Linked DNA regions of Diceros bicornis minor. The protein of the gene in region 2 purifies or fractionates together with the protein of the main gene of each other region. This does not show direct contact. Links are inferred from orthologs where the notes say so. Each region holds a gene or a part of one and is shown on either strand. Other genes may lie near its edges. The genes, in order: ANAPC7, ANAPC2, CDC26 and NEK2.

Region 1 (7,319 bases), on a different chromosome or scaffold from region 2:
CTGTTCCAGCCCCACTGACCTCCTCACTCTTCCTCTAACATGCCAGGCCCACTCCTGCTTTAGGCCTCCAAGCTTGCTGTTTCCTTTGCTTGGGACCCTCTCCCTCTAGATTTCTCCATGGCTCCCTCTTGCCCTCCTTCAGGTCTTTACTCATTTGTCACCTTTTCAGTGCAGCCTTCCTTGATCATGATTTAAAATGGCAGCCCCCACCCCAACACTCCCTCTTCTTTACCTTTTAAGCATCTTAAAAAAAAACACATATGGAAAATTTAATGCACAAAAGTTGAAAGAACAGCATAATGAACTCCCAGGGACCTGCCAGTTAGCTTCAGTTGATATCAACATTTTGCTAACTTTGTTTCATCTGCTCCCACTTCAAGGAATATTTTAAAGTAAATCCTAGACATTGTTTCTTCCATAAATACTTCAGTATATTTTATCACCTTCTATACTATTTGTATTACTTATTTGTTGTTTATCTCCCCTCATTGGAATGTCAGCTCTAAAAGAACATGGATTTTTGTTTGTTTTGTTCCCTGCTATATCCCCATGGTCTAGAATAATTTCTGGCACACAGTAGGTGCATAATAAACATATGTTGAATGAATGTACAGTGAAGCAGCTGAAAGGAGAGGAGAAACCAATTAACAATGAATGTCTCATTATAATGATTTATTATGTTCGTCTAGTGTTTCATGATTTATAAAGCATTTTTTATACCATCAATATCTTAACTCTTTTAATTAAATGAGCTATGTGATGAGGTCATTGACTCATGCTTCTTCTTCATCCATTATTGAATATTTGTTAACACCTACTATGTGCCAGGCACAGACCACAGAATGGTGTGCAAGACAGATAGGCCCTCTGTCTCGTTAGTTTCCAGTCATCCAGGTGGGTGTAGACCTGTCAGGAATGCAAAGAAGCGTCCCACTCACTCTGCCCCCTCGTGAGACAAGGTGTACAGAGATGAGAAAAGTTAATTAACAATCACAGATTTAAGTATGGTGAAGGAGAGGCATATAGGGCAATGAAGTCATTAGTTATCAAACGAATTGTCCAAACTATAATTCCCATTCAGAGAATCGAGGCATTAAAGGAGAGATGAATCACTTTTTAGGAGAAGGTATGGCAATTTCAACTAAAAATGTTTCTTTCTTTTTTTTTTTTTTGCTGAGGAAGACCAGCCCTGAGCTAAGATCTATTGCCAATCCTCCTCCTTTTTTTCCCCTTTTTCTCCCCAAAGCACCACTAGATAGTTGTATGTCATAGTTGCACATTCTTCTAGTTGCTGTATGTGGCATGCCGCCTCAGCATGGCCGGAGAAGCGGTGGGTTGGTGACTGCGCGGGATCCAAACCCAGGCCGCCAGTAGTGGAGTGCACGCACTTAACCGCTAAGCCACGGGGCCGGCCCCTAAAAATGTTTCTTGAATCTATGAATGTTGGTTTATTCCAGGATCAGTGGATATGTGACTTTACAGTAAGATGTCAATCCAGATATAAACCTAACTATATTTTGCAATTACAGTGTAGCTTGGAGAAGGTAAATTGGAGACTCATGAGTCACGTGGCTTAAAGATGTGTTTATTTTTTTAATGGTTTTATTGAGGTATATAAAATTCACCCATTTTGGGCCGGCCCCGTGGCTTAGCGGTTGAGTGCACGCGCTCCGCTGCTGGCGGCCCGGGTTCGGATCCCGGGCACCCGCCGACACGCTGCTTCTCTGGCCATGCTGAGGCCCTGTCCCACATACAGCAACTAGAAGGATGTGCAGCTATGACATACAACTATCTGCTGGGGCTTTGGGGGGAAAATACATAAATAAATAAAATCTTTAAAATTCACCCATTTAAGTGTACAATTCAATGATTTCTTAGTGAATTTAGAGTTGTGCAGCAATTACCACAATCCAGTTTTAGAACATTTCCATCTACCCTAAAAAGATCCCTCTTGCTCATTTGCAGTCACTCCCGCTTCCCACCCTCACCATCAAGCAACCACTAATCTTTTTGTTGCTATCAGTTTGTCTTTCCTGAATGTTTCATATAAATGGAGTCAGAGATTGTGATTTTTTTCCGTCTGTTTTTTTTCACCTAGCATTATTTTTAGCATAATAATTTTGAAATTCATCCATGTTATCAGAAGTTTGTTCTTTTTTTTATTTTTTGCTGAATAGAATTACACTGTATGGATATACCACATTTGGTTTATATAGTCATCAGCTGGTGAATATTTGAATTGTTTTCACTTTTTGGCTATTGTTAGATGTGGTTTTCATTAGGAAATATTTTGAATGTAGAAAAAAGTATGATAGCAAGCATTTATGTAGTTAGTGTTTACTCTGTGTCAGCCACTGTTCCAAGTGTGTTAGATACAGCGGTATACACAGCATGTTTGACACCCAGAGCAGGTCAATTTTTATACCTCCTTCCCCTTTTTCTTTCTTTCTTTCTTTTTTTTTTTAGTAAACTTTATTTTTTAGAGCAGTTTTAGGTTCAGAGCAAAATTGAGCAGAAGATGCAAAGAGTTCCCATAAACCCCCTGCCCCCGCACATGCACAGTCTCCCCCACTACCAACATCCCACACCAGTGTGATACATTTGTTACAACTGATGAACCTACACTGACACATCATTATCACCCAAGTCCATAGTTTCTGTTAGGTTCTCTCCGTGTTGTACATTCTATGCGTTTTGACAAATGTATGACATGTATCCACCATTATAGTATCATATAGAATAGTTCCACTGCCCTAAAAATCCTCTGTGCTCCGCTATTCCTCCCTCCCCTCTACCTCCTGGCAACCACTGACCTTTTTACTGTCTCCAGTTTCATCTTTTCCAGAATGTCAAATAGTTGAAATCATACGGTATGTAGCCTTTTCAGATTGGCTTCATTTCAGTTAGTAATATGCTAAGTTTCCTCCATGTCTTTTCATGGCTGTGCTCCAACGATTGACAAATCTGTTTATGCTGCCTATTGAAGATGAATATGCAAAGATGATCAGTTTTTTTTTTAAAGATTTTTATTTATTTATTTATTTATTTTCACCCAAAGCCCCAGTAGATTATTGTATGTCATAGCTGCACATCCTTCTAGTTGCTGTATGTGGGCCGCGGCCTCAGCATGGCTGGAGAAGCGGTGCGTCGGTGCGCCCCCAGATCCGAACCCAGGCTGCCAGTAGCGGAGCGCGTGCACTTAACCGCTAAGCCATGGGGCTGGCCCTAATCCGTTATCTTTTTGTACTGTAATATTTGTTTTATTTTTCATTAAAATTTTTACTGGCATCATTATTTAGATGAAGTTTAAGAAAATGATATTTTCGCTGTTTCTTTTCTGGCCATTATTATTAGTCATTTCATTTCAGGATTATTACCGAAAGTAGGTTTTTTGTAAAAGAGAGAGAGTGGTCAAGAGAATGAGAAAAAAAGCTACAGACAGAAAAAATATTTGTAAAACACATATCTGATAAAGGACTGTTATCCAAAATACGCAAAGAACACTTAAAACCCAACAGTAAGAACACCAACAACCGGATTGAAAAATGGGCAAAGGATCTAAACAGACACCTCACCAAAGAAGAGATACAGATGGCAAATAGGCCTATGAGAAGACGTTCAACGTCATATGTCATCACGGAATTGCAAATTAAAACAACACTACACACATATTAGGATGGCTAAAACTCAACCTAGCCTTTATTCACTCTGAGTTAGTGAGTCATTTCACAGGGTAAAAACATGTCTTTTTTGCACCCAAGGCGTCCCTCCAAAGGTGAAGCCTGACTCCCACAGGTACACACAATACCTGAGAGGAGGGGGCGTGGCACCTTCAGCCAGGTGCGCCAGAGCGACTTGAAAGCAGTTAGGACTGCCCCTGGCGCCTGATTAAAATATTTAATTCCAGCTGTTGGAGATTTTTCCCGCCCGCACCCTACTATACTTTTATTTATAACTGTCCATATATTTTTATTAACTTCTGGGAGACACAGATTCCTCTCAGACTCATTTCAATTGAGCATATATTCATACTGAGGTGCCTTTTGTCCTCAGCCCATTGTAAGCCCTCAGTAAAGTCTGCAGCTTAGAATGATGATGCAACTTTTGCTAACAGAACGAAACAAAAGCAAAAACAATAGTCCCGAAAACCAAATCATTCCACCTCACAGGGGGCTTGGGGGAAGAAGTTTTGTTTTTTTTCTTTTTTTTCTTCTTCTTCTATTCAGGCACTTCAGTAGTTGCCTATTTTCCTGGGGGCGGTGCCGCATGTGGGCCCGATGGACCCCGGCGAGGCCGCCATTTTGGAGTCTTCTCTGAGGAGCGTCTACCGGCTCTCCGCGCCGCTGCCGCCGCTGCCCTCGGCCTTGCCGGGCGGGATGAATGTGATAGACCACGTGCGAGACATGGCGGCCGCGGGGCTGCACTCCAACGTGCGGCTCCTCAGCAGCTTGTTACTTACCATGAGTAATAATAACCCGTGAGTGGAGGCGGGGAGCGGCCTGGGGCTGAGGAGACAGCGGCGCCGGCTTGGGAGCGGGGGCCGAGGGGGCCCGGGGAGTGGCGGGAAGGAGCGGCCGCGGGCCCCAGCTGAAGCTCCGGGGTCAGCCAGGGCCTCGTCGGGCGGAGCCGGCTCAGGAGCGCAAGTTGAGGTCGCCGGGTCCCCGCGTTGTGCCGGGCGCTGGGATGCGCTCCCTGCGGGGGATGTGGCGAGCGGCGGCTTGGAGAGACGGAAGGCGGAGGCTCCGAGGGCGACCCTGGCGAGGGTTTCCCGAGGCCCCTGTCGCCGGGCATAGCGACTGTCACATCGCTGGGCCGACTCTTCCCTTCCCGGCCCCTGGTTTTATACCTTCGTCCCCCACCCGAGATTGCTCTTTCTCCTTGAGTGTATCAGGAGAGTTCACTTTCTCCTCGGCAAACGGGGGGCTCCCTGGCTGGGTGGGAGTGGTGCCTTTCTAAGGACTCGCAGGGCCCCTTTTCTGTTTTTCGCGCTGCCGTCTATTGAGTCTTATGACGGAGGAAGCACAGGGCCGTGTGCAGCCTGGAGTGCCTGTCGCAGCCGTGCTTCAGTGTCTCCATTCTGTTTAAATTAAAGTTCCTTCCCATGGCTTAGAGGCCGAGCATCTTTCTCCCCGACTTCATCTCGTCTGCTCTGCTCGCTGTACTCCAGCCTCCCTGCCTCTTTCTCTTGCTGGAACGCACCGAGCTCGTTCTCAGCTCAGGGCTTTTGCATTGGCTCTTCTGCTTGGAGTCCTCCCCTCCGAGCTGCCTCCTCGTTCAGGTTTCAGCTCAGATATCCTTCCTCGAGAGCTCTTCTCTATCAGAATTGTCCCTTCCCCTCACTATGTATCCCTTTGCCCTGTTTTATTTTCTGCATCACTCTTTTTCTAATTGAGATGTAATCGATGTATAACATTGTTTGGATATTTGTGTGTATTGGGAAATGATTACCGCAATGTCTAGTTCACGTCCATCATCACACAGTTACAATTTTTTTTTTATTATGATGAGAGCTTTTAAAACATATATTCTGCGTGACTCGTAACACCTCATGAAGTCAGCACAGTGCCTGTGCAATAAGCATTCGTACGTTTTTTGAATGTGCTAAGGAAGTGCATACAACCTTAGGGAGGTGAAATACTGTTTCTGATTTCACACACATCTAGTAAGTGGAGGAGCCACGATGTCTGCATTTTGGTCCTTCTGACTTTAGAAAGTCTCTATTCTGACCCACCGCAGTTTACTGCCTCTCAGTGGCATTATAACTGAATCTCCTACCCAAGGTGGACCCATTGCATTTGGCTTGCTCTAGAAGCTGTCTAGGTTAGAAAGGAAAAGCCCCTCAAGTGCCTGCGATGCAGCCACTGCTCCCGATTTCATTTCCATTACTGTGCTTTTGGGCCTTGCTACTTGAGACCCGTCATTTTGCCACCATTCATTTAGTGTTGACAGTGAGGAGCCCTGGTCTCTGTCAGCCGTCTGTGTTTGTTCTGGAGTCTTTCACTTGGTTCTGAGTGATTTGTCAAGGCACACAGTTTCCACCATTGGAAATTTATACACCAGTTAGTCATTACTCTTAGTTCCGGAAGATGTTACAGGGTAGTTAGAAGCAGTTTGATCCTCGGACTAGACTTAGTTAGCCCATGCTTCTTCATAATAGGTTAAACTGGCGGTTTCCTAGCTTTAGGAGGCATTTAAATTCTGACCTTTATCATTAATATTTTAAATTAAATTGGCAATATACATGGTAAAAAAAATTCAAACAGTGCAAAAGGGGTATGCAGATAAGTGTCTGTCCCTGAGTTTTGACCCTCACCCCACCATTTCACTTCTCCAAAGGCAACAACTATTAACAGTTTCTTTTTTTTTTTTTTAAAGATTTTATTTATTTATTTTTCCCCCAAAGCCCCAGTAGATAGTTGTCTGTCATAGCTGTACATCCTTCTGGTTGCTGTATGTGGGATGCGGCCTCAGCATGGCCGGAGAAGCAGTGCGTCGGTGCGCGCCCGGGATCCGAACCCAGGCTGCCAGCAGCGGAGCGCGCGCACTTAACCTCTAAGCCACCGGGCTGACCCTATTAACAGTTTCTTATGTATCATTCCAGAGATGACTTATGCATGCATAAGTAGGCATGTATGTTACAATATATAAATATCTGAATGCTTTCTCTGAGTGTAGTAATATTTTCTATCCAATCTTATTTCTCACTAAGTACATAGAATCTCAGAGTTGGAAGAGATCTTAACTCTCTGGACTATACCTTTGTCCTTGACTTTCCTTTGTAACTTTATATCCCGTGTTTAGCCTACCTATCCTTTCTTTTTTTTAAGATAAAATTCACATACTGTCAAATTCACCCTTTTAGAAAATACATTTCTGTGGTTTTAAGTATATTCAGAGTTGTGCAGCCATTACCACTGTCTATTCCAAAACATTTTTATTACCCCAAAAAGAAAGCTGGTATCTGTTAGTAGTCACTCCCCAATTCTGCTTTCCCCAGGCCCTGGCAACTATAGTACCTGTTCTTGAATATCTTTCATTTGTTGAGAAATTAACTGTCTGCAGAGTTCTGTAACTCTGACTGTTTTTTCATTTTAAGCGGCTGTAGCTTTTACCTGTCAAAAACGTGTAAACTACTCAATTTGAGAAGAAGTGGGGGAGGGGTGGGTCAGAGATTAAAAATGGATTTTCCATTAAGAATAGTGGCCAGCTTCTAGGCAGTTATAACACTTGTGAACAATATTCAAGGTTAAAGAAAAAGTTGTGAAACGTATTGGTTCCTTACACTGTCCTTAAGCCCCTGAGACTCAAGGAGATAAATT
Region 2 (7,656 bases):
GGGGCAGCCCCTGACCTCTCAGAGCCTCTGAAGGGCCTATAGTGTGTTCTGCTACCTGCTCGGGTCTGACACCCTTCACCGTGCCCCTGAGGGTCAGTGCACCAGCTTGGTCTGGCTGGAGGACCCCTGGTGGCTGGGCAGCAGGGCCTTTGCTGATGTGCCTCTTGCTCCTAGATGAAGATCTCCTTCAACGACAAGAGCCTGCAGACCACATTCGAGTACCCTTCTGAAAGCTCCCTGGTGCAGGAGGCAGAGGCGGAAGCAGAGGAGGGGGAGGAGGAGGAAGAGGAGGAGGAGGAGGAGGAGGAGGCGGAGGCGGAGGAGGCGGAGGCGGAGGAGGCGGCGGAGGCGTCTGGCGCAGAGGAGGTGGTGGAGAAGCCCTTTGCACTCTTCCTGCCCCGAGCCACGTTCGTGAACAGTGTGGGGCCCGAGAGCCCTCGGCTGCTAGACAGCAGCTCAGGTAAGTGTCCAGCTGTCGGGATAGGTGGCCCAGTGGGTAGCCTGGGCCACATGTCCACGCACCCACACGTCCACGCGTGTGCCCCTCGGCCCGCAGGCTTGTCCAGCTATACTCCAAAGCATTCCTTGGCCTTCAGTAAGTGGCAGGAGCAGACGCTGGAGCCGGCTCCCAGCGAGGTGGAGCCTGTGCCGAAGGAGGTCATGGTGAGTGGGGGCAGGGTGGGTGGACGCACAGGGTGCAGGGCTGGGGTGGGGGCTGTCTCTAAGGCCTGGATGAGCCCCATTGGCTGCCTCTGTGCCCCTCTCTTAGCTCACCCCCGCCAGTCAGAAAGACCTCTCGGACTTCCGCAGCGAGCCAGCCCTCTATTTCTGACCCCGGCCCTGCCAGGATGGCCAAGGCAGAGCCCTGGGAGCTCCGCCCTCATTCTGCACCCCTCTTCTGCCCTGCCAGGCTCTGCCCTCCATGTCACACCCTCCCTTCCTAGGACCTCACAGCCATGCTGGTACTCAGGGCCTGAGGCTGGGGCACCTGGGGCTCCTTTTTCTCTTGGGGCTGTCTGGGTCTCGCTCTCTGGCCCTGGTTTGGGGCACTGCCTGTTGAGGAGGGACGGGGTCCTGGCGGACGCTGTGCCCAGCAGCTGCCAAGTGTGTCCCAGGCGAAGGGCTGGCCTGGCTGCCTGTCCTCTGCAGGACTCCAAGCCTCCCCAGCCTACACCCCCACGGTGGAGCTCAGCCCACCCCCTTTGTGATGAATGGCAAGTCTTTTCTCGCCTCTGATGATGGACTCAATAAATAGCACTGGACGAACTGCCTCTGCCTTCCTTGCATGGTCCTCGGCCTGAGAAGGGGGCACAGGGGTGGGGTCTCTGGGGCTCCATTGAGGTGTTGGCAGCCTGCCAGAAGCCACATAGGGTGTGATGGGGCCCAGCATGGATGTCTGCCTGGGTATGGGAGGGGCCCTGGGTGGCATCCCAGTCCTAGTGGTTCAGGCTCTTGCTCCCCACAGGCCCAGTTGTCTGGCTTCCCCTCCCAGCCACCCCCTCCCCTGGGAGAAGGACCTCCCTGTGCCTGCCCCCATCTGTGGAGCAGCCCCCTCCCCACCAGGGCTGGCACAGGGGCAGCTACGGTGGGAGGTGGGACACCAGGCCTGCTCTTTGGGGTCTGAAACTTCCCAGGCACTCTAGGCAGCAGGGGTGGGACTGCTGCAGCTGTCGGGTCTGAAGGGCCAAAAGCCTGGGAGGGGATGAAGGGCAGGGCAGGGAGTGGGCAGAGCCTCAGGGATCTTGCCTCCTGTTTGGCTTGGAAAGCTCCCTGACCCATGGGAGCCTGCAGCAAGGCTGTGGCAGGCAGGCTGCTCCCCTGGGGTCAGTGCTAGCAGGTGGCAGGAGAACCCGACAGATCTGAGGTGTTACACACAGCTGCCCGCTAGGGAACAGCTCCTGGCTGGGCTGCTGCCTCAGACATACTTGGCTGCCTGTGCAGCCGCAAGCTGGAGTCGGGGCTGTTTACGATCAATGCTTCGAATGAGAGTCTCTCCGTCCTAGAGAGTCAAGCCCATCATAATTGCCACCTAGCCCGGCTTGGGAAGGATGACGGTGTTTTGGGGGTGTTTTCTTGGGAGAGGTGGGCCCAAGTCTCTCCAGACTTTCCAGCAACATGCTTCCCAAATCAGTTCAGCCCACCCTGGGCTGCAGGGACCCCAGCAGGGCTGACAGGCCAACAGAGACAGACCCAGAGAGGACTCGGGCTGGAGGGCTGGGCCCCAGGCGACATGGAAAGCTGAAAGTGGGCACGCTTGGTGTGTGGCCAGTGAAGGCAAGAAGCAGTGGTGCCGTCGCGGTGAGCAGAGTTTAGAATCATGGAGCTAGGGCGCAATCCTTGGTGGGGGACCTGAGCCCAGGAAAGGCGTCTCCCTGGGCCAGGCCTTGTGCTGGACACCAGGGTGTGGCAGAGACTAGGACCAGCAGGCAGAGCCCCTCAGTAGGGGATGAGCTGTGTGCTGGAGTCGGGGAGGGGGCCAGTGGCCCCGGTGCGGAGAGGGTGGGCGATGAGGGTCATGGGAGATCCTCAGGGTCACTCTCAGCTTTGTCCCCAAGGCCAGCAAGGCTGGTCACAGGGAAAGCCACTCCAGGCTATACTCTAACCTCTCCCTCACAGAGGAGCTACGCAATAGCTGGGCAGGGGCTCGTGTTCTGGCTCTGGGAGTATCCGGCAGCCCCGTAATCCTGACACAGGCAGCAGGCTGGCATGGATCTTTACAAAGACAACCTTTATTGACAGTCACAGACCACAAGGACAAGCTCTAAGGTGAAGGAGGGGCCCAGCCCCTCCCCCACTCACCAGGCCTGGGCACCTGCTGGCCAAGGGACAAGGTGAAGGAACTCCCCTAACCAGGGCCTTACCTACAGCCGAGGGGAGTATGGGGACCTCAGAGAGGCCCCAAGTGGAGCTGGCCCCGAGCTCGCCCTCCCTGTAGCCTGAGTGAGCACAGGGCCAGGACTCCCACCTGGTGGGCTGCGCCCAGGGCTTTTCTTGTCACTCAGGGCCAATGGAGGCTGGCAGCTGCCTCCCTTGGCACCTGAGACAGTGAAAGAAGTTACCTCCTGTCATGAAAAACAGACACTGTGAAGACAGACTTGCTAGGGGCCAAACCATTAATGGCTGCAGTGGAGACAGGCCCCTCTCCACCTGTGGCTTCATGAACTGTCCTTCTCTTCAATGATCTCCTGCTCTGAGGCCATGACTTTGCTCAGGTTCCCGGCTTCCCTCTTCACAACACTAAGCAGAGCCTGTGAGCTCTCCAGGATCTGGGAACAGAAACAGGCATGAGACGGTTCCTTCTGTCAGAAAACTCCTGCAGCCCAGCCCCCCTCACACATGGTGCCAGGGCCAGGCTGTGGGGGCTACGGGACAGGAGCTGCCAAAAGGAAGCCCCTGAGGGGACGGGCGGACAGGGTCAGTAGGGCACTTTTCCCTCCGAGTCTAGCCCAAAGCCCCTTCCTCGCACCCTGGGAAAGCCACACCAGGTGAGCCCTAGCCCCTGCTGCTACTCTGCTGCTTCCCCTGTGCTGCTCATGGTACCACTTAGGGTGCAAAGAACAGAACTCAGGACGCACCAGGCCCCACCGACGGCCGGGCTGTCACTCCACAGTGGGCCCGGCCACACCGGAGTCCTATCACCTCTGCTTGTGGGTGTCCCTAGGCCAAAAACCGCCTGGGGACTCCGCGAGCCCTACCTTGAAGAAGGCAGCCTCAGACTCTGTGATGGTCCGGTCAAGCTCTTTGTAAGAGGCGATCTTGCATGCCAGATTCTCGTTGACTAGGGCCAGCTTCTCTGTCAACCGCCTCAACTGATTATGCAGCCGCTGCTTCTCCTTCTCCTCCTTCTGGATCTGCCGGCACAACTTGTTCCGCCTCTGGCACAGGACCTCCATGCCTAGGGTGGGCGGGGAGGGGCAGGCGCTGTGGACCCAGGGCAGGAAGGAGAGCATCACCCCTCCCAGTCTGCAGCCCACAGCTTTGTAGCAGAGACGAGTGGTGGCGGGCGGGGGTGCCACCTTCCGCCTGAGCCCGGCCAGTGTCCACCTCCGGGGTCTAAGGGTTAAAGAAGGCACCGCACGAGACAGCCGGGGACGGGGGCGGGGGGTAGGGCAGGGGCCAGCGCATGCTCAAGCCCCTCATCCTCCTGCTCGCTCCATAGATATCCGGTCCTCGGCGATGCCACACTGTGGCCGCGCGCTGGGAAGATCCGCATGGCCTCCGCGCGGTCCGGCCGGACACCCACGCACTGGCCACGCGCTGCGGGCCATCGCGCCTGGGCCGGCAGGGGCGAGCCCCGCGCCCTCCCGGGGCTCAGCGGGCCCGCCGCGCGGCCGCTCACCCTTGATCAGCTGGTTGTTGTAGTCCTGCATCGCCGCGCCCTGCTCGGTCATGGTCGCCGCGCCCTCCTCGGTCATGGTCGCCGCGCCCTCCTCGGTCAAGGGCTCCGCGCCCTCCTCGGTCATGGTCGCCGCCCAGGCTCGGCCGCGCCAACCGCCGCTACCGCATCCTGCCCGCGCCTGCGCACTGCCTCCCGACGGCGCGCCCACCGTACGTCACTGCCGCGCGCCTCGTGTGCGTCATCTCCCTGCGCGCCCAGCCCTCCCTCACCGCCGGGCGTCGCGCCGGGCGGCTGTGGGAGCGGGTGGACGCAGATGGCGGCGGCGGCGGCGGCGCCGGGGCACGGCGACCCCGCGCCTTCACAGGAGCTGCTGGTGGCCTGGAATACCGTGAGCACCGGGCTGGTGCCGCCGGCAGCGCTGGGGCTGGTGAGGCCCGGGAGGAGGCTTTGTTGGGGCGCCCGCCCTCGGGTTGCTGCAGCGCCGTCCTCGCCGGCCCCTGTCCTGCCTCTTCTTCCACGGTCCCTCCTCATTTGGCTTCCCGCAGCCCTTCCCTGGCATCGGCCCGGCATCCGCGCGCCGCGGACTAGGGGCAGCGGGGTTTCCGCAGCCTCCCCTCCATCTGGCCCTTCCCCGCCTCTCCCCAGCCGTCACCGCCTTCCCCACCTCTTCGCTGTGTTCCCTTCTCCTCACGGTTGTCTGCGCTCCAGGCGTCCTCCCGGACCAGCGGTGCGGTCCCGCCGAAGGAGGAGGAGCTCCGGGCGGCGGTGGAGGTGCTGAGGGGCCACGGTCTGCACTCAGTCCTGGAGGAGTGGTTCGTAGAGGTGCTGCAGAACGACCTGCAGGCCAACATCTCGCTGGAATTCTGGAATGCCATCTCCCAGCGCGAGAACTGTGCTGACGAGCCCCAGTGCCTTCTGCTGCTCCTTGACGCTTTTGGCCTGCTGGAGAGCCGCCTGGATCCCTACCTGCATAGCCTGGAGCTCCTGGAGAAATGGACTCGCCTGGGCTTGCTGATGGGCACCGGTGCTCAGGGGCTGCGGGAAAAGGTCCACACCACGTTGCGGGGCGTCCTGTTCTTTTCCACTCCCAGAATCTTTCAGGAAATGATCCAGCGCCTGTATGGGCGCTTCTTGAGAGTCTATATGCAGAGTAAGAGGAAAGGGGAAGGGGGCACAGATCCAGAACTGGAGGGGGAATTGGACAGCAGGTATGCCCGCCGCCGGTACTACCGGCTTCTGCAGAGCCCGCTATGTGCGGGATGTGGCAGCGACAAGCAGCAGTGCTGGTGCCGCCAGGCACTGGAGCAGTTCCACCAGCTCAGCCAGGTCCTGTGAGTACTCCCGCCTGTGTGGCCTTGCCCTGTTCCTCCTTAGTCCCACTTGTTCCCCTGGGTCCAGCTGGCCTCTGCAGAGAGCTGGTGAGCTGGCTGGGGGCTCTGCCACCTGTCCTGATAGCCACGGGCATGACAAGGGGAGGGTCCCCAGAATCCCTGTGCTGTGAGTTTATACCTTTTGTTCTGGACGCAAGTGTGTCTCTCTGTCACTCAGGTAAACCTAGGGTTCCACGCTTTGCTTATGCTGAGACCTCATGTGGTTCCAAGTTTCCTGGGCCACGCAGAATTCTGCTGTGCTTTCTGTAGGCTCTCCAGGGGAGGAATGATGTTCGTTCTACCCTGTAATTGCAAAAAGTGGGCTTGTTATTTTTCTTCTCCAGAGAGAGTTGGACATTAGGCTGACATGCTGGGCAAGCGATTGCCTTTGTAGCCCTTTGAAGTGGAAAGGTTGTTGTCGTTGTCATTGTCGTTAGAACCAGGTTGTGTTGTATGGGTCCTACGCTCTCTGTGGCCATTTATGATGATTTTGTCACTTCAAGTGGCGTGGCAGCAGTACAGCTGTTGGGGAGAGACTTTTAGCTGGACCCAGGGAGTGGTACTGTTGCTGGCAGGGGTCAGGGAGGCCCTGAAGGGCTTCTGCTGGGTTCATCCCAGGTGAAAGTGACGCAGAAAAGTTCTTTTTCATTTTTTCTTGCATCTGTTTGCCATCGTAGACGAGAGTATGCGCTGAAAGGCACTTAAAGACAGCAGTATCTGTATTTATGTGGCCAGAGTAGGGATGTATTTGGGTGTTGTTTCACAGCCGTTTCTAGATGAGGCCTTGGTCCCTGATAGCCACACACGCTGCTCACCTGGGGAAGGCCAGTGCCCTGGCCTGGGCAGAGATGCCAGCTGGGGAGGGCGGGCAGTGGCTTGTCCATGCTCCATCATCCCAGCGGCTTTGAGGAAGAACCCTTGGTACAGTTGTGCCCCCACCAGGAGGGCCCTGGAGAGGTGTGTGCCCAGTGTGGGGGGTGGGGGTGTGTGTGCTCTGCGTGTTCCACGGGCAGGGCTCTTCTCTAGACATAGGCTCAGTCTGCTGGAGCGGGTCAGTGCTGAGGCCGTGACCACCACCCTGCACCAAGTGACTCGGGAGCGGATGGAGGACCGCTGCCGGGGCGAGTACGAGCGCTCCTTCCTGCGTGAGTTCCACAAGGTGAGGACGTCCCTCCTCGAGCCTGATCCCTGGGGATGGGGGATAGGCTTCTGGCAAACCTGAGACTCCGGCTTTGGAAGCAGCCAGAGTGTGGAGGCCAGTCCTTCTGGGCCTGCCCTAGAGACAGCAAGGAAAGCCTGTGACATGCTCGGCGAGGTCTGTGCAGAATCACCTGGTTAGAGGCAGTGCCAAGGTCTGAGATGTCCCATTGAGGGGCCTCAGAGTGCCCACGCTGTTGGGTGTGGTCTGGGGCTCTGCTCTGGGCTCCCCAGAGTCATGGAGCAGCTGGCTCCAGCCTCAGCGGCCGTCTAGCCTGCTTCCACTTGCTACCTGTTCTCCTCGGTTTCCTAGTGTCCACCTTCTGAGGGTGCAGATTAACCACAATGGGGGATTCAAAGCAAGTGTCTCTCCCCGCAGGAGTGGTCTGAAGTGGGTGGCAGCCTGGAGGCCTGGTAGGGGCAGCTGTGCTGCCTCCAGGTGGCAGAGTGTTGGGGTGGTCTCATCAGTGGTTGGGTGGTCTATGAGGGGAACGTGTGTGTCTTCGGGTTCGTGTGGCAGTATGTCCTGTAAGTTTATGTGTGTGCGCTCAGAAACGTTCTCACTATATGGTACGTTGTTTACACGTGGCGGGGGCCAGTCGTGTATGTGGCCTCAGGGCAAGTCTGTCCACTCAGGCGGAGGCGAGCACAAGCTGCTATGTGCCCTACGTTAGGGCCACTGTTGCCAGAGATAAGCATGGGCACTGAGGCACATGGAGGGGCATGGGGGTGCATTGATGGAGGACCTGG
Region 3 (7,204 bases), about 22 Mb from region 2:
AGCTTGCGCATTCCAGGAGGACCACTGTGGCTACTAAGCCTTGTAAACTGGGGAAGAGTAGCACAAGATGAGGCTGAAGAGCAGGATTAGGAGCTTTTTACTCCAAATAAAAGACGATGACACTGCAGGATTTTAAGTAAGCAATCAAGACAACACATTTGGAGCTATTACAACAGTCTAAATGTGAAAGCAATGGAGGCAGAGAAAAGAAGACACATTGGAGGTCCCGGCCCCGTGGCTTAGCGGTTGGGTGTGCGCGCTCCGCTGCTGGCGGCCCAGGTTCGGATCCCGGGCGCGCACCGACGCACCGCTTCTCTGGCCATGCTGAGGCCGCGTCCCACACACAGCAACTAGAAGGATGTGCAGCTATGACATACAACTATCTACTGGGGCTTTGGGGGGAACAAAAATAAATAAATAAAATCTTTAAAAAAAAAGAGATTCTGCAATTTTAAAATCACAAGAGGAGCGTTATCTGAGGACAGTGCCCTTTTCAACAATATCCAAAAAACACTTCTCACTATGTTTTACGTCATTGACAAGAAATGCCTTTGTTGTCTAAATTTTCAAAGTTCAACAAACATTTACCCAACTCAAAATTCCACACTGGGGAGGGGAAGGAGCATGTTAACGCCTTCTTCACAGTTTATAAAGACAAATTAGTAGCAGAGTAAAAACTGGCTTAAGGCTCAGATTATGGGCTAAACTATTCTGTTAACATTGTCTGAGACATTCTATTAAAGTTTTAGCTACATTACCAACTGAAATTTGGGACTAGAACCCTGTGGTTAAAAAAGAAAAGAGTAGGGGCTGGCCCCGTGGCTTAGCGGTTAGGTGTGCGCGCTCTGCTGCTGGCGGCCCGGGTTCGGATCCCGGGCACGCACCGATGCACCGCTTGTCCGGCCGTGCTATGGCAGCGCCCCACATACAGCAACTAGAAAGATGTGCAACTATGACATGCAACTATCTACTGGGGCTTTGGGGAGAAAAAGGGAAAAAAAGGAGGAGGATTGGCAATAGGTGTTAGCTCAGGGCCGGTCTTCCTCAGCAAAAAGAGGAGGATTGGCATGGATGTTAGCTCAGGGCTGATCTTCCTCACAAAAAAAAAAAAAAAAGAAAAGAGTAAATATCTAGAAAGGGCACCTTTCTCTTCTTTCAGCAGGACCCTCTCCGAAAAGCGTGATGGGCTCCCCCAAGGCCCGAAGGCAAGCCTTGACCTCCGAGTCATCTGTGGAAACGTTGATTTGCCGGGCTCGCTTCCTTCTCTCAAACTCGGCTAATACTTCAGCCTGTCGCTCACTGATGTGCTCTTCAATTTCAAACACTTCTCCTATAAAAAGAACAGGAAACATCAGCATAATCACCAGATCTTCTTCAAATAGAGGAAAAGAAATAATTTCTCACAATTAGAGTCTGTGTATGCTACTAGGGAAAGTCAACTGTCTAATCTATTAAGCACTTTATAGATATAGTTTACTCTTTCTCAGTTTATTAAATTATGCCAAACACAGAAAATTAAATGATACAGCTTTAAGAGGCAGGAAAATGGTTCAAGTCATGTTGTTTGATTTGGCAACCTTACACCCATATAAACACACAGCTTACATGAGATGAGAAAGAGTACGGAGCATCTTTAGCAAATGAGTTAAATGGCTCTTCTATCCAGAAGATAAAATAGAAATGCGGTTTTAACAATTGCCAAAGCTATTCTCTAAAACAGTCCCAGTATCGGGACACTTACAAATGAAACTAGTAAACTAGAAAGAATTACCATGAAAATGATATTCCTTGACTCGAAGGCTTTTTGGATAATCTAGCAGCTGGTTTTTTTTTTTTTTTTTTGTGAGGAAGATCAGCCCTGAGCTAACATCCACGCCAATCCTCCTCTTTTTTGCTGAGGAAGACTGGTCCTGAGCTAACACCTATCGCCATTCCCCCTCCTTTTTCTCCCTTTTTCTCCCCAAAGCCCCAGTAGACAGTTGTATGTCATACTTGCACATCCTTCTAGTTGCTGCATGTGTGACGCTGCCTCAGCATGGCTGGACAAGCAGTGCGTCGGTGCGCACCCGAGATCTGAATGCGGGCCGTCAGTAGCGGAGCGCGAGCACTTAACCGCTAAGTCACGGGGCCGGCCCCTCTAGCAGCTAGTTTTAAAACTCACACCAAATACAAGCATTTGGATGAAAAATGAGAAGAACAGCGGTGATGCAGTTATGTTTAAAAACAGCATAAATGGTTAAAAATGTCTGTAAAGTGCATGTGTATAGAAAAGAAAATGTGTAGGAGGATCAATGAGAAACCTGAAAGAGATCCTTTCTGCAAAGAAATCTTTTCATTTTATACCATTCTGTACTGTCTGAATTTATGACAAACATGTATAATTTTATTTTAAAAATACAGTAGGCCACCAGTTACTGACATGGAAAGATATCCTCAATAGTACATAGAGTATAAAATACAAGTTACAAAACTATTTGTATATCATGGTTTCATTTATGGAAAAAAATTATACATTTTCATAGCTTTATTAAATTCTCAGAAAGATATACACCCAATTAATAAGCATTACAGGATTTTATACTTCACAATTCTACATTGTTTGATATTTTTCAAAATAAAAATAACTATTACTTATATAATTTAAAAAACATTTCATTTTGAGGGAAAAGTAATTGCAAAACTAAAAAAACGGAGAATATTATGAACGACAGTAGCTCCAAACCAATGCCAGAACTATGCTAGATCTCCAGAAGACAAACGGAATCACTTTGAAGCCAAATACACGCTGAATAAACTCCTGACAAAATTACTAACAATTCACGGAAGAAAAACTGTATAAAAGGTTTTAAGAAAAAGGCGTTCTGGATGATGATAAGCGGGGTAGGCAAAGTAAAACCTTACACAGATGCAAGTTTAAAACTGCAATTTTATGACACTATAAAACTAGTGATATCTAAGTTTAGGAAGGTATTCATTACAGAAAAGTTGAGCACCAAAGGTAAACATGGACTCACAATTTGCATCTTACCAGAGGTTATGTTAATATTTCCTGCTTCAATTCCTGCTTTAAGTCCTTCTTTTCCCAAAATCCCAGACTCTCCTTTGGCCAGACGCTCCCTCTCCTTCTCTTCCAAACTTCCATAATAGATGTGTGGCTTCTTCACAACAGGAGCGACTAAGTCATCAGGTGCCTTAGTTTTGGTCGCCTGCTAAATCAAAGACCTGGATTAACCTAAGGCTTCACCTTAGCAATTTACCGGCCTTCCCCAAAGGATGAGGCTCATCCTGAGCGTCAGTCCTATTTCTTCCCGAACGGAAACGACAAGTTGGACACCTTAAGATGCGTTTTCACTGATTGAGGGGGGTGTTTCTCAATCACTTAAGTTTTGCAGACAGGAAGAAGTTGAGGATACTCGTGCATTTCTCTTGGTGATTTTCCTATCAAAGGTTTGCTTTTAAACACGTTTACTTCATTCTGTTGGAAGTGCAATGTCTTCTGCGGTTTTACGACACTTCCAGGGTTATTGCTCATCACAGGGGAAATATCAAGGATAACTGAAATAGCCAAGGCGATGTAAGGGGGAAACAAGTTACAAAGATGCTGGTCTATACACTTCAAACGTTTTCAGACGTCAGGCTGTAGATAGGAAGAAAGAAGGCCTCATTACAATTAAGAGGTCTGACACGGACATACATCTCGGCCAAGGCACTACGTCCTCCCTTTCAGAGCTGCGTTTTTGGACCCGTGGGAAGAGATATTTACCGTTCGCGGGTGTAGCGAGTGATGCAAATAAGCTAAAGCGCATGAAAGCGCTGAGGGATCGGGAACACGCTGCTCCTCCTCACACCTCCACCGCCTAGCCCGTTCCCTAACGGCCCCATCCCGCTGGACTCCCCACCCCTCGGCGCTCCCTGCCAGAGTGAGCTGAGCTCTGTACCGTGGAGGAGGCTCGTGAGGAAGCCATGCCGAGCTCTGGAGCCGCGAAGCCCCAGCGAAACTCGACCTCTACGTTTCAGACCGTCCACCGCGCGCCCAGCAAAGCGGAACTGCGTCACCTACCGGAAGTGGGCCGACAGCCGGCGCAGCATCGTGGGCGGCGTGGAGCATGACGGGAGTCGTAGTAGGACAGATTCTGGGCGCGTCGAGAGGCGTGGCTTGTAGTCCTCCGAGGAAAGCACGCGGAGGACGAGGTTCTGCGAGGAGAGAGGTTGAGAGTAGTCTGGGAAGTGTAGTCCAGCTGGCCTGGCAGAAGAGTCGTAGTGGGCGCCGAGGTTCTGGGAAGGGGCTGAGCAGCCTTGAAAAGAGGTAGGTGCGTCGAGGCGCGCGGCTCCGGGCTGAACTCGGGAGCGAATCTAGGGCTTCCGGGGCCTGCGGTCCCTCCCGGCCCGACGCGCGGCTTTACGTCATCCTGGAGCGGAGGTCCCTGTTGCCATGGAAACCGTCACCCTGGACCCCGGGTGCTGCCCTGGAGCTGCGGAAGGAGAGCTGTGCTCGTTCTCCGCTGTCGGGAAGTCCTCTGCCAGGGGCTCCCTCTGAGCTGGATGAATTCGAGCAGTGGCGAGAGAAACAGCTCGAAGAGCACTCTAGCTCCAAAGTAGAATAAAGACCCGGCGGAGGAGCCAGGGCCTGATTTTGTTGTTTGTCTTCAGCCCAGTCTTTGTATCAGATTCAGAGTGAGATGATGGATGTGAGGCGTCAGGTAATCTGCACGCAAGCAACTCTGCATGGCCCTGCCTTCCGCTGCGTGCTGGGGCATCAGAGATGAACAAGACGAGGCTTTTGCCCCCATGGCGAGGGTGGAGATGCTTAAAATGTTGGTGTTTCCCGAGCTGACAGAGCCCCTCCCCGCCCCTACGCCCAAGGACAATTACAATAATAATGGCTGTTATTTATTGAGCGTTTACTAAATGCCAAGTTATGTTCCTGGAACTTACTTTGCATTACGTCATTGAATCCATACAACAACAGAGTACGGTTACAGAAACTAAAATCCAGTGAAGGATGAAGCTAATTGTTTGTGATAAGTGGTGGATGGGATTAGAACCTCTGCCCTCTGCCCTTTTGCCTCTAGAGAGCACTTGTACCCATTACTCTATATTGCTTCATAGAATTTTTCACAGTTTGCCGAAGAGTTAAAATGCAAAGCAGTTTTTTCTTTCTTTTACGCATCCACCGCTCCCACCGCCCCCCTCGAACTTTGGCTCCCTCTACCACTTGCCTACACTGGAATCAAGATATTATCTGATTTAATGTAAAGCAATTTGAAATGTAATGTGCTGGTGTTTTGGGTTGATAATATCACCTGTATTTATCTGATAATATCACCTAAGCTTCGTGGGAGAAGGAAACATTTCTTCCTTTGTATATTTCACAGTCCTTGATACATCCTGGATACATGTAATAATAATTTATGTCTGTAAAAACTTTAAAGGAGCTTTCACTTACATCATTCTCATTACATTAGTCAGTTACATCAATCATCTTACATCAATCCTCACCGTGGAACGTATGTATAATTTTTATAGGAGGCTGACATTTATTAACCAAACTGAACAGCTTCGACGTCATCTGTAAAATAGGGGTAATTTTGTTGGTGTCACAGTTTCTATGTTAAAATAAAAATGTAAAGAATGGGAATGGAAAAGCATAGCACAGTGCTGAAGAAAAGTTCATTTCACTTTAATTGGATCTCAGTTTATTCAACAAAACGTTTACTGACTGGTGATTATAGATACACTCTACTGGATGCTGTGGAGAATATGAAGATGCAATCCACAGATTTTAAACTCAGTTGGGGAGTTTTATTTTCTTCTCAAAAAAATGTTTTTTGTTAGCATAAGCATTACCTAGGGTTTTCAAGCTCTGGAGGGTTCTCTTGAGCCTCTTTGCGTATTTGTTCTCTCTGCCTGGAATGCCCTTAATCTCTTTACTCTGTCTGTCCTTAACCAGTCAACTAAGACATCATCTCTTCCAGGAAGCCCTCCACATTCCTGTCCATCTCACACTCAGCCCAGACTGGATTGGTGCCTGTTTGGTGCCATTGCGTTACCCTTGCCAGAGTTTTATTACACTGTGTTGCAATTTTCTGTTTATGTGTTTGTTTTCCCCACTGACTGTGACTGTGCCTTTTAACTCTGTAGCTGGAGCACAAGAATTGTTTGTTTAATGAATGACATATCCATTTAGGACCTAATTAGATCCTTAGGACAACTCTGTGAATTGGTGAGTTAGAGGGAGTTTTCGTGAGATTTAGTAAATTTATTTTAGCATTTGGGGGTGATCACAAATCTCTCACAATTCTCATGTAGTGTTGATCAAATTTAATGGCTTATATACTCTCCCACTGACTATACTGAATTAAGATGTGATCTTTTAACTTTATTCTCTTAGCTAGAATATTTCTCTGAATGTGACAGGAGCATGAGATTAAAGTGATTGTTACCTAGAATTCTCTTTTATAGGTAGTTTGGCGTTTTAAGTTCTTGAAGAAAGAGTTTTTTGGAATTACAAAGTTGTGGATCTCAATCATGTAATAAAAATGTAATAATCATACACCAAAAGTCTTAGAAGTCTATGTGTGAATCCAAATGAATCTTTTTTTTTTTTTGTGAGGAAGATCAGCCCTGAGCTAACATCTGCCAATCCTCCTCTTTTTGCTGAGGAAGACTGGCCCTGGGCTAATGTCCATGCCCATGTTCCTCTACTTTATATGGGACGCCGCCACCGCATGGCTTGACAAGCGGTGCGTCGGTGTGGCCCGGGTCCGAACCCCGGGCTGCCGCAGCAGAGCATTCGCACTCAAGGGCTACGCCACCAGGCCGGCCCCAAATGAATCTTTTTTATTGCCATTCATTTTAGCAAGCATGCGTACAAACTGATCTTACATTTGCAGCTGAGATTTATCCCCTCCAGTTTTTCCTTCTCTCTGCCTTTTTAACAGCTAATAGTTCACTGGGTCTGGCCTTTGATGTTGATTTCAACATGCTGCGACGAAAACCAACCCGCCTGGAGCTGAAGCTTGATGACATTGAGGAGTTTGAGAGCATTCGAAAGGACCTGGAGGTAAGAGCACAACTTTCAAACCCTTAGGAATATTTAAAACTCCAACTTTTGAACTCCAGACTCTTGTACCAGCAGCTTATTTGAAATCTCTATTTGGACGCTTTACAGCCTCTCAAACTTAATGTATTAGTTTCCTGTGGC
Region 4 (7,626 bases), on a different chromosome or scaffold from region 2:
CTAGGGCCCAGAGAGTTGGACTGGATTCCCTAGGTCACACAGCTCATCAAAACAGAATTAGAAGAACCTGGGTTCCTAGACCTTGCACCCACTGTTCCTACAATTTCACTGTGCTGCCCCCTGAAGGGAAAATTGGGAGCGTTCTCTAAAAGCTCCTAAAGTCCCTTAGGAACACGTTATGGCCTCAGCATCCGTGACTAGTTTTAACATTCTTCTTAACCAATTTATATTATCAATATTCTTAGAGATAACAATATTCTTAGAGATAACTTCTCACAAATATCGTGAGAAGCTATGTAAAATTTGTGAATGGCTCTCTCCGTCTGAAAGTTTTTCCTTGTATTGAACAGAAGTCAGCCTTGCCCTAACTTGTACCCTTGGGTGCAAGTTTGACACTATCCTTCTTTGAAATGTGGTGAAGTTCAGAACTAAACACTATTCTGTTTCAAAGATAAATTTCTTCTCATCATATTCTTCCATCAGCTGCCTGCCATTAAATCCAAAGCTGTCTCTTTGTTTGCATCTTGTCCTTCTGTTTATATCAAGTGGTGTGTCGCTATTAGGGCCAGGCTCCATAAAACCTCATTCTTTCTTCTAGAACATGCTTATTTATTGACATACTATGTCATGCACCTTTCTTTAACATGTTTTAGCTTCTGATTATTATGAACAAAGAATGTCTCCTTTTTTTTCTTTCTAGAAATCCTTATTGATTACTTTAAAAAATTTCCATAATCCCTGACTTCAAATTGCTCCAAGTAATTGTGGAGATAAGACACACAGAATATCTTGTCTGAAATTTGAAATGCTCAATATGCAAATCTCGGAGTTTCCTGTAAGGACAGGCCTCTGAGGGTGGACGGGTGGATGTACTGTCTCCTTGTTTGTTATGCAGTGATGTACAACCCCCTAGTGGGTCATTAATGTAACATAAAAAGGAAGCTGAGGGCAATGAGGTATGGCTTCCTCCATTCGTTCATTCAATGTACAAATGTTAATTGAGTGCCTACCATGTTCCAGGCAGGTTTTAGGTGCTGGACATACTGCAGTAAACAAAAGCATATGCATTCGTCACTTAAGATGAAGAAGACAGCCAGTAGAATAAGTCTGGGGCAAAAATCAGGAGCTTGATTTTGGACAGGGTAAGTTGGAGATGCCCATTAGTCTTCCAAGTTTCTTCTTTTAAAAATTAGTTGGTGTCTGGGAACATCTGTAGAGCACTTGTGAGCAGAAAACACAGACAGAGTGTCAATAATCTCTTCATTTGGGATTTCACCAAATTTAAACGAAAACTGACAACATGAGCACATTTAACAAGAAAATTGTGCAGACAGTGAATTAGACCCTGGGCGCGGGAGAGTGGTTACAGAGATGCTCAAGCCTTGGCCCCACCCTCATGGAACTGCTCATCTCTTACTTCTCTGTTTAAATGTAATCTTCAGTTTCTGTCTCAGTTCTTTGTTTGTTTTCTGAATTCTCACCGCAATTTGTAACGGCTGAATTTCTCTGCGTGCTTGTGTCCATCTACCTCCTCCACCTCCAGGACTGCGCGTCAGTCCTGCTCACTGGGGTATCTTCAGCACCAGGCAGAGCCTCAATTTATATTTATTGAAGGATGAATTTTTGATTTAATATGTCAGATAAGGTAGATATACATGAGAAGCTAGTAATATAGACTAGTATATGGCACATTCTAAATGAGTAAAGAACACAGTTAATTGTTCTTTTAGGCGATCACAGTGGGTTGAAGGCAGTCAGGCAAAATTTCAGGGAAGAAACTGGGCATGAGCTGAGTCTTAACGAACAGGCAGACTATGAAGGAAGGAGGGAGGAAGTGACAGCGGAAGGGTTGTTTTCTGTAAAGTGTTCCTGATTGATTTCCACATGCTCCTCAGCCACCAATGTCTCTTTATACTCTGGTGTCTAGTGGTCTCTGCTGGGCTGTCTCGCCCCTCACTCCTACCCAATGATATGGACTAACTCTGCAAGTCATTAGGGTTTGTCACGCCATGTCTATGTCACTCTTTTCTTTATCATTGTCATCATGGCCCCACTGTCTCTTTTTTAATGAACACCCAGCATACCAATGCCTATCATTATACCTGCTACATAGTAAATGCTCAATAAATATATGTTGAATGAATATATGTGCCTAGGAGCTGCTCTCCATACTCCTGGGGTGGCCCTTTCCCCAATATTTAGTCTCTGCCATGGGGCTGGGGGCATTTGAAACATGAGTACCAGAGGGCTCACTCCAAATCCTCGCATGATTATTAATGAGCTTCTTTCTCATATTTTCATGTAACGAAGATTTACTGCATGTCTCCTTTATTACAGGACTTATGCTGGCTACAAGGAGCTTGGAGCTGAGCTCCTATGAGACCCACGTAAATAAATCATCAAACAAATAACAAGTTAAAGGTTGATTTATGCATGAAGGGGTCTGTGAACACTGTAGATGGAGGAATTGCTTGTTCTGGTGTGCTAGGAAAGGCTTCCTAGAGTGCAGGAGAGAAAGTTGGCATTGAATCTTGAAAGACAATTTGTGTCCTCGAGACAGATGTGATCGGGGTGGGGGAGTGGATGAGGGAGTAAGGCAGACAGCATTGCAGCCAATGGAATAACAGGTGCAAAGGAGGTAGTGGTAGTGGTGGTAGGGGGCATCTGAGAAAGTGTGCTGAATTCAGGGAACTGGGGCAAAGAGCAGAAGAATGGCCCGAGAGAAGATGCGGGACTGGATTTGGGGCTGGCCAGCCAAAGAGCTCCACGGATGTCCATCTTTAAAATGTATTAAAATAAAAAATATAATGCCAATTAACTCAGCCACTTGTAGCTCCTTACATAGCTTTTGAAACCTAAATTGGTCACATTCCCTTGAGGTAAGACAGTGCCCTTGAATGTTCCTTTAAAAATTCTCCTGGCTGGCGATTTCAATTGTTATATTCAGTGCATGTAATAAATTCCTTATTTTTAACATAAAGAGGTTTGTAATTCTTTTTTTTTTTTTTTTGTGAGGAAGATCAGCCCTGAGCTAACATCCATGCTAATCCTCCTCTTTTTGCTGAGGAAGACCAGCTCTGAGCTAACATCTATTGCCAATCCTCCTCCTTTTTTTCTTTCCCCAAAGCCCCAGTTAGATAGTTGTATGTCATAGCTGCACATCCTTCTAGTTGCTGAATGTGGGATGCGGCCTCAGCATGGCCAGAGAAGCGGTGCATTGGTGCGCGCCCAGGATGCGAACCCCGGGCCGCCAGTAGCGGAGCGCACGCACTCAACCCATAAGCCGCAGGGCCGGCCACTGTAATTCTTATTAATAGAAAATCAAGTTCCTTTCAGTCCCATGCTGAACAGATATTTAAAGAAAATTGACCTACTTATGCATTGCCAAGTTATTAGCCTTCAGGTAATACACATATTCCACCATCCAGCCCCACCCAGGGGCCTCCAGGTCCCCTCTCCCAGCTAAAAATGAGAATGTTCCATTTGGCTGGGTGAGCTGAAAATGTTGGTTTCTGTGGGTGCCCAGAAGAGGCTGCGTTCAATGAAGTATTGTCAGTTAAATATGTGTCCAGCATCCAGCATCCCAACTACCCTATTTGGTAGTCTTTTCTAATAAAATTTTTTTTTGTAGGAGTCTTAAAGGTCCCTGACTGTCTCTGCCTTAGAGCCATCATATTCTCTGGGTATTCCAAAACATCAGGGACTTCCATATTCTACCCTGAGGTTTTGTACACATCCTCTGCATTTGAACAGGCCTCTAAATTTGGTGTTCAAAAATATAGTCCCTATGTGAAAATGTCAAATCACTACGTTGTACACTTGAAACTAATATAAGATTGTATGTCGATTATATCTCAGTAAAAAAATAGTCTATGGTGACTGCACTCTGACGTCGTGTGTGAACTTTAAATCATTACCATGAGTAACCACTGTTTTCACATTGATTCTTCTCTTCCCGGACGTTGGACCTAAAGCAAATAATTTAACCTTTCTGTGCTTCCATTTCCTCATGGGAAATGATAACACTACTTCCTCCGTTATAGGTTTGTGTTGAGAAATAAACGAGACAAGACACGCAAAGTGCTTGGCACACCCCCGCACCAGAGCCAGCACTCATCCGCGCATCCTTTAGAGAGGGACTGCACTTTTGATCTCTGTACTTCACTCTCACCAAGTCTTCCGCGTGACCCCGCCCAGGCTCAGGGTACAGGAAGCTGCGAGAGAACAGTGGGTAGTGTGAGGGGTCAGAGTGCAACGGTCAGAAGGTAGTTGGTTGAGGCAGTGTGCAAAGAAGTCTGAGGAAAGATCTCTGGACTTTGGTTACACCTCAGCCAGAGGAATAGAGCCGCGGGCACCCACCTGCTGCCGCTTTCTACCTCCCTCCCTGCCTTTGATTTGGCTCCGCCCCTTTCTCCCTAGAGGTTGAAAGCAGACGCCGACACCGACGCGGTTGCCTAGCGATAGGCTTTTCCCAAGATGCCCATGGTGTTGTGTTCTCCTTAGCCAATCAGAGAGGAGAAGCGACCTGACCGCGGGCCAATAGACTGCGAGTCCAGGGCCCGCGACGGTTAAACGGGGGTGGACACTGGAGCTGCGGGGCAGTGGGGTTCGGAGGGGTCCCGGAGTCGGTGGCTGCAGCTAGGTGCCTGCATCGCGACCTGCAGGAGTCGTGCGGCCGGCCCGGCCATGCCGACTCGGGCGGAGGACTATGAGGTGCTGTACACCATCGGCACGGGGTCCTACGGCCGCTGCCAGAAGATCCGGAGGAAGAGCGACGGCAAGGTGAGCGCGGGCCCCTGCCCTGTCTCCGCCCCTGCTGCGCCCGCCGCCGCCGAAGGGAAGCGAGAGGCCTGGGCTTGTGGATCTCGAAAGCAGGGTGCCTGCAAGAGTCAGCCATCTTCCCCAGGCCTGCGTCTGTCCTGGGTCGCTCAAGGAACGGGAGACTGTATTTTTTGATATAGCATATTTTTACCGTCTTTTTTCCTTTCTCTTCCATTTCCTTCCTTTTTCCTGCTTTGACCTGCTGAGGGCCTTCCATTGGTGACAGGTAGCTGACTTCTGAGCTATTTTTAGAGAAGAGTAGCCCTCTCAGACGAGAGAAAGGGGCGGGGCCCCCAGAACCTGGAGCTTTATGTCTTGCAGTCAGACTCATTTAAAATACCCATTATTCTGGTTATTGATTCATATTTCCCAGTGTGTGTAGGTAGACCTTATACAATGAGAAACAATACAAGAAACGATGAGAGGAAACTGCCTAGCTGCTGCTGGAGGGATCTTTAGTAAGGTCTCTCACCCTGGAAAAACTTGACTGGTTGGGATGATCAGGAACTTGGACTACCTCCGCTCCAGCCTTGACCAAAGTACTTTTTGCCAACCTCCCACAAAACAAGTGAGGGTAGGGGGTTGAGGGAGGCCTAATGTCTCTCATCCCTCTCTCTCCTATTGCACCATTTACTGCTTAAAAATTAGAGGAAGATTATGAAAATAAACTCAGGGGTCCTTAAGTTCATTGAATGAAATTAGATGATAATGACTGTATGATCTATTTAATAGGCAAGTAATTTTTAAAAATTTTAAATTTTGGAACGTTCATTTATACCTTGGAAATTCTTATTTCAGATATTAGTTTGGAAAGAACTTGACTATGGCTCTATGACAGAAGCTGAGAAACAAATGCTTGTTTCTGAAGTGAATTTGCTTCGTGAACTGAAACATCCAAACATTGTCCGTTACTACGATCGAATTATTGACCGAACCAACACAACACTGTACATTGTAATGGAATATTGCGAAGGAGGAGACCTGGCTAGTGTAATTATGAAGGGAACCAAGGAAAGGTAAATTAATCTTTTAAATATAACCTGAAAATGGGCCTAGTTTCATTTCTTTAAGCATCCTGTTTTAGGGTCAGGAATGAAGTACTTAGTAATGTGGAAGAGTGTGCTTGTATTTGTTTGATGAGTCCACAGTACTTTAGAAAATCCTTGGTGAATCAACACCCATATTTCATATCAAAATAATTTATTTCCCTACTTCTACACTTTGAAAACTAGATAATTCATATCATCCCATCTTTGTAATGGTTTTATTCAGAAGTTATATGCTATATAACTGCTTTGATTTCAGACAATACTTAGATGAAGAGTTTGTTCTTCGAGTGATGACTCAGCTGACTCTGGCCCTAAAAGAATGTCACAGACGAAGCGATGGTGGTCATACTGTGCTGCATCGGGACCTGAAACCAGCCAATGTTTTCCTGGATGGCAAGCAAAACGTTAAGCTTGGAGACTTTGGGCTAGCTAGAATATTAAACCATGATACGAGTTTTGCAAAAACATTTGTTGGCACACCTTATTACATGTCTCCTGTAAGTATCTCAGAATTTAGATACTTTTTTAACATCTTCATGCAAGCATTCAAATGCAGAGAAATTGAGCTTTGTGTTTGTTTAGTAATATCCAATAGCCAAGAATTAATAATACTATTTCCTTTTAAATTTGTATTTTCCAAATGGACCACCAGACCATTAAACTCCTCTGTATCAGCAATTCAGGTAAGCTTTTATTGAGTGACTACCAGGTGCTCACCTCTGGGGTTACAATGATGACCTAGGTTTTGTCTTTGCTCTCAACAGCAGTGTTTCTCAAAGTGCCATAAGTCCTGGACACCAGCTTTTACTTGTTTGGAATATTTGTTTAAAATGCAGAGTCCTGGGCCCCAAATCCAGTGAATTTGGGTCTCTGGACAGGTCCTTGCATTCTGCCCTCCCCCCCTTTTATTTTGGACTCCATATTTTAACAGACTGTAGATGATTCTTGTGCATGGAGATTCAGGGCTCAAGAGGCTCACTCACTTCAGATAACATGTTTTTACGGTGTTAACTTTCTGTACTTGTTCTTTTTTTCTTGACTTTTCCTACAGTGGAGGTGCAGAGACCACCCACTTTACTTATTTGTTTCCTCTATTGCTAGATATTTTGTTTCCAAAATTTCTCACCATTCTAAGGAGCACTGCTATGCATATCTTTGTATAAATTATCCTTTCTTCCTTTTTGGTTATTTCCTTGGGGTATAGGTCTCAAAATGAAATTGCTGGGTCAAAGGGTATGAACTGTTTATGACTCTCTAGATATCGCTTGATGGCTTTTAAAAAGCTTGAATCAATAAGTGATAGCACCAGTGTGCTGTAGATGAAATCTGAGCAGATAAAGATGGAGAGATATTTATTAATTTTTTTAAGAGTTCACAAACATTTCTAGGATATTCTAAATCTTTTTTGGTTATATTAACTGATCTGACTATAGTATAAAGCTTTGTAAATTAATGATTTTGTTTTTGACTAAGATTAGACATGGCCAGAAGAGTGTCATTTTCTTGCCAGATCAAGTTGCAAATAGAAAGCCTTTAACATAAAGGAAAATTATCCAGAAGTAGTTCTTGGAAAATTTGAAACCTGTGCAATTCTTTTGTTCCTTTTCCCTCCTGCCCTTGTAATTAGATCAGTTCAGCCTTCCCTAAGGCATTGATTGTCAGGAAGTGGTCTCGGACTCACCTGTTGTACTTTATTTTTATTTTTATTATAAATTTTTATTTACTTATTTATTTATTTTTTTCCCCCAAAGCACCA

The links.
Region 1: the proteins of ANAPC2 (region 2) and ANAPC7 fractionate together in Homo sapiens (co-fractionation; 6 studies listed by BioGRID and IntAct, with this or other methods). This does not show direct contact. The link is inferred for Diceros bicornis minor from reciprocal best matches to the Homo sapiens genes ANAPC2 and ANAPC7.
Region 3: the proteins of ANAPC2 (region 2) and CDC26 purify together in Homo sapiens (co-immunoprecipitation; 7 studies listed by BioGRID and IntAct, with this or other methods). This does not show direct contact. The link is inferred for Diceros bicornis minor from reciprocal best matches to the Homo sapiens genes ANAPC2 and CDC26.
Region 4: the proteins of ANAPC2 (region 2) and NEK2 purify together in Homo sapiens (affinity purification with mass spectrometry; 4 studies listed by BioGRID and IntAct, with this or other methods). This does not show direct contact. The link is inferred for Diceros bicornis minor from reciprocal best matches to the Homo sapiens genes ANAPC2 and NEK2.

What each region holds. Positions count from the first base shown.
Region 1 is NC_080774.1:8,943,833-8,951,151, reverse strand, and holds the start of ANAPC7 (anaphase-promoting complex subunit 7), read left to right. Parts: upstream 1-4,308; 5' UTR 4,309-4,376; coding exon 4,377-4,477; intron 4,478-7,319. UniProt on the Homo sapiens protein: Component of the anaphase promoting complex/cyclosome (APC/C), a cell cycle-regulated E3 ubiquitin ligase that controls progression through mitosis and the G1 phase of the cell cycle.
Region 2 is NC_080767.1:43,716,764-43,724,419, reverse strand, and holds the start of ANAPC2 (anaphase-promoting complex subunit 2), read left to right. Parts: upstream 1-4,652; coding exon 4,653-4,766; intron 4,767-5,047; coding exon 5,048-5,670; intron 5,671-6,735; coding exon 6,736-6,868; intron 6,869-7,656. Other genes in the region: TPRN (taperin), read left to right, coding at 175-460, 557-663, 770-832; microtubule nucleation factor SSNA1, read right to left, coding at 3,156-3,266, 3,696-3,895, 4,340-4,463. UniProt on the Homo sapiens protein: Together with the RING-H2 protein ANAPC11, constitutes the catalytic component of the anaphase promoting complex/cyclosome (APC/C), a cell cycle-regulated E3 ubiquitin ligase that controls progression through mitosis and the G1 phase of the cell cycle.
Region 3 is NC_080767.1:21,525,538-21,532,741, reverse strand, and holds the start of CDC26 (anaphase-promoting complex subunit CDC26), read left to right. Parts: upstream 1-4,200; 5' UTR 4,201-4,306; intron 4,307-6,941; 5' UTR 6,942-6,982; coding exon 6,983-7,063; intron 7,064-7,204. Other genes in the region: PRPF4 (U4/U6 small nuclear ribonucleoprotein Prp4), read right to left, coding at 1,144-1,330, 3,029-3,209, 4,061-4,108. UniProt on the Homo sapiens protein: Component of the anaphase promoting complex/cyclosome (APC/C), a cell cycle-regulated E3 ubiquitin ligase that controls progression through mitosis and the G1 phase of the cell cycle.
Region 4 is NC_080743.1:77,451,081-77,458,706, reverse strand, and holds the start of NEK2 (serine/threonine-protein kinase Nek2), read left to right. Parts: upstream 1-4,611; 5' UTR 4,612-4,686; coding exon 4,687-4,782; intron 4,783-5,619; coding exon 5,620-5,837; intron 5,838-6,126; coding exon 6,127-6,367; intron 6,368-7,626. UniProt on the Homo sapiens protein: Protein kinase which is involved in the control of centrosome separation and bipolar spindle formation in mitotic cells and chromatin condensation in meiotic cells.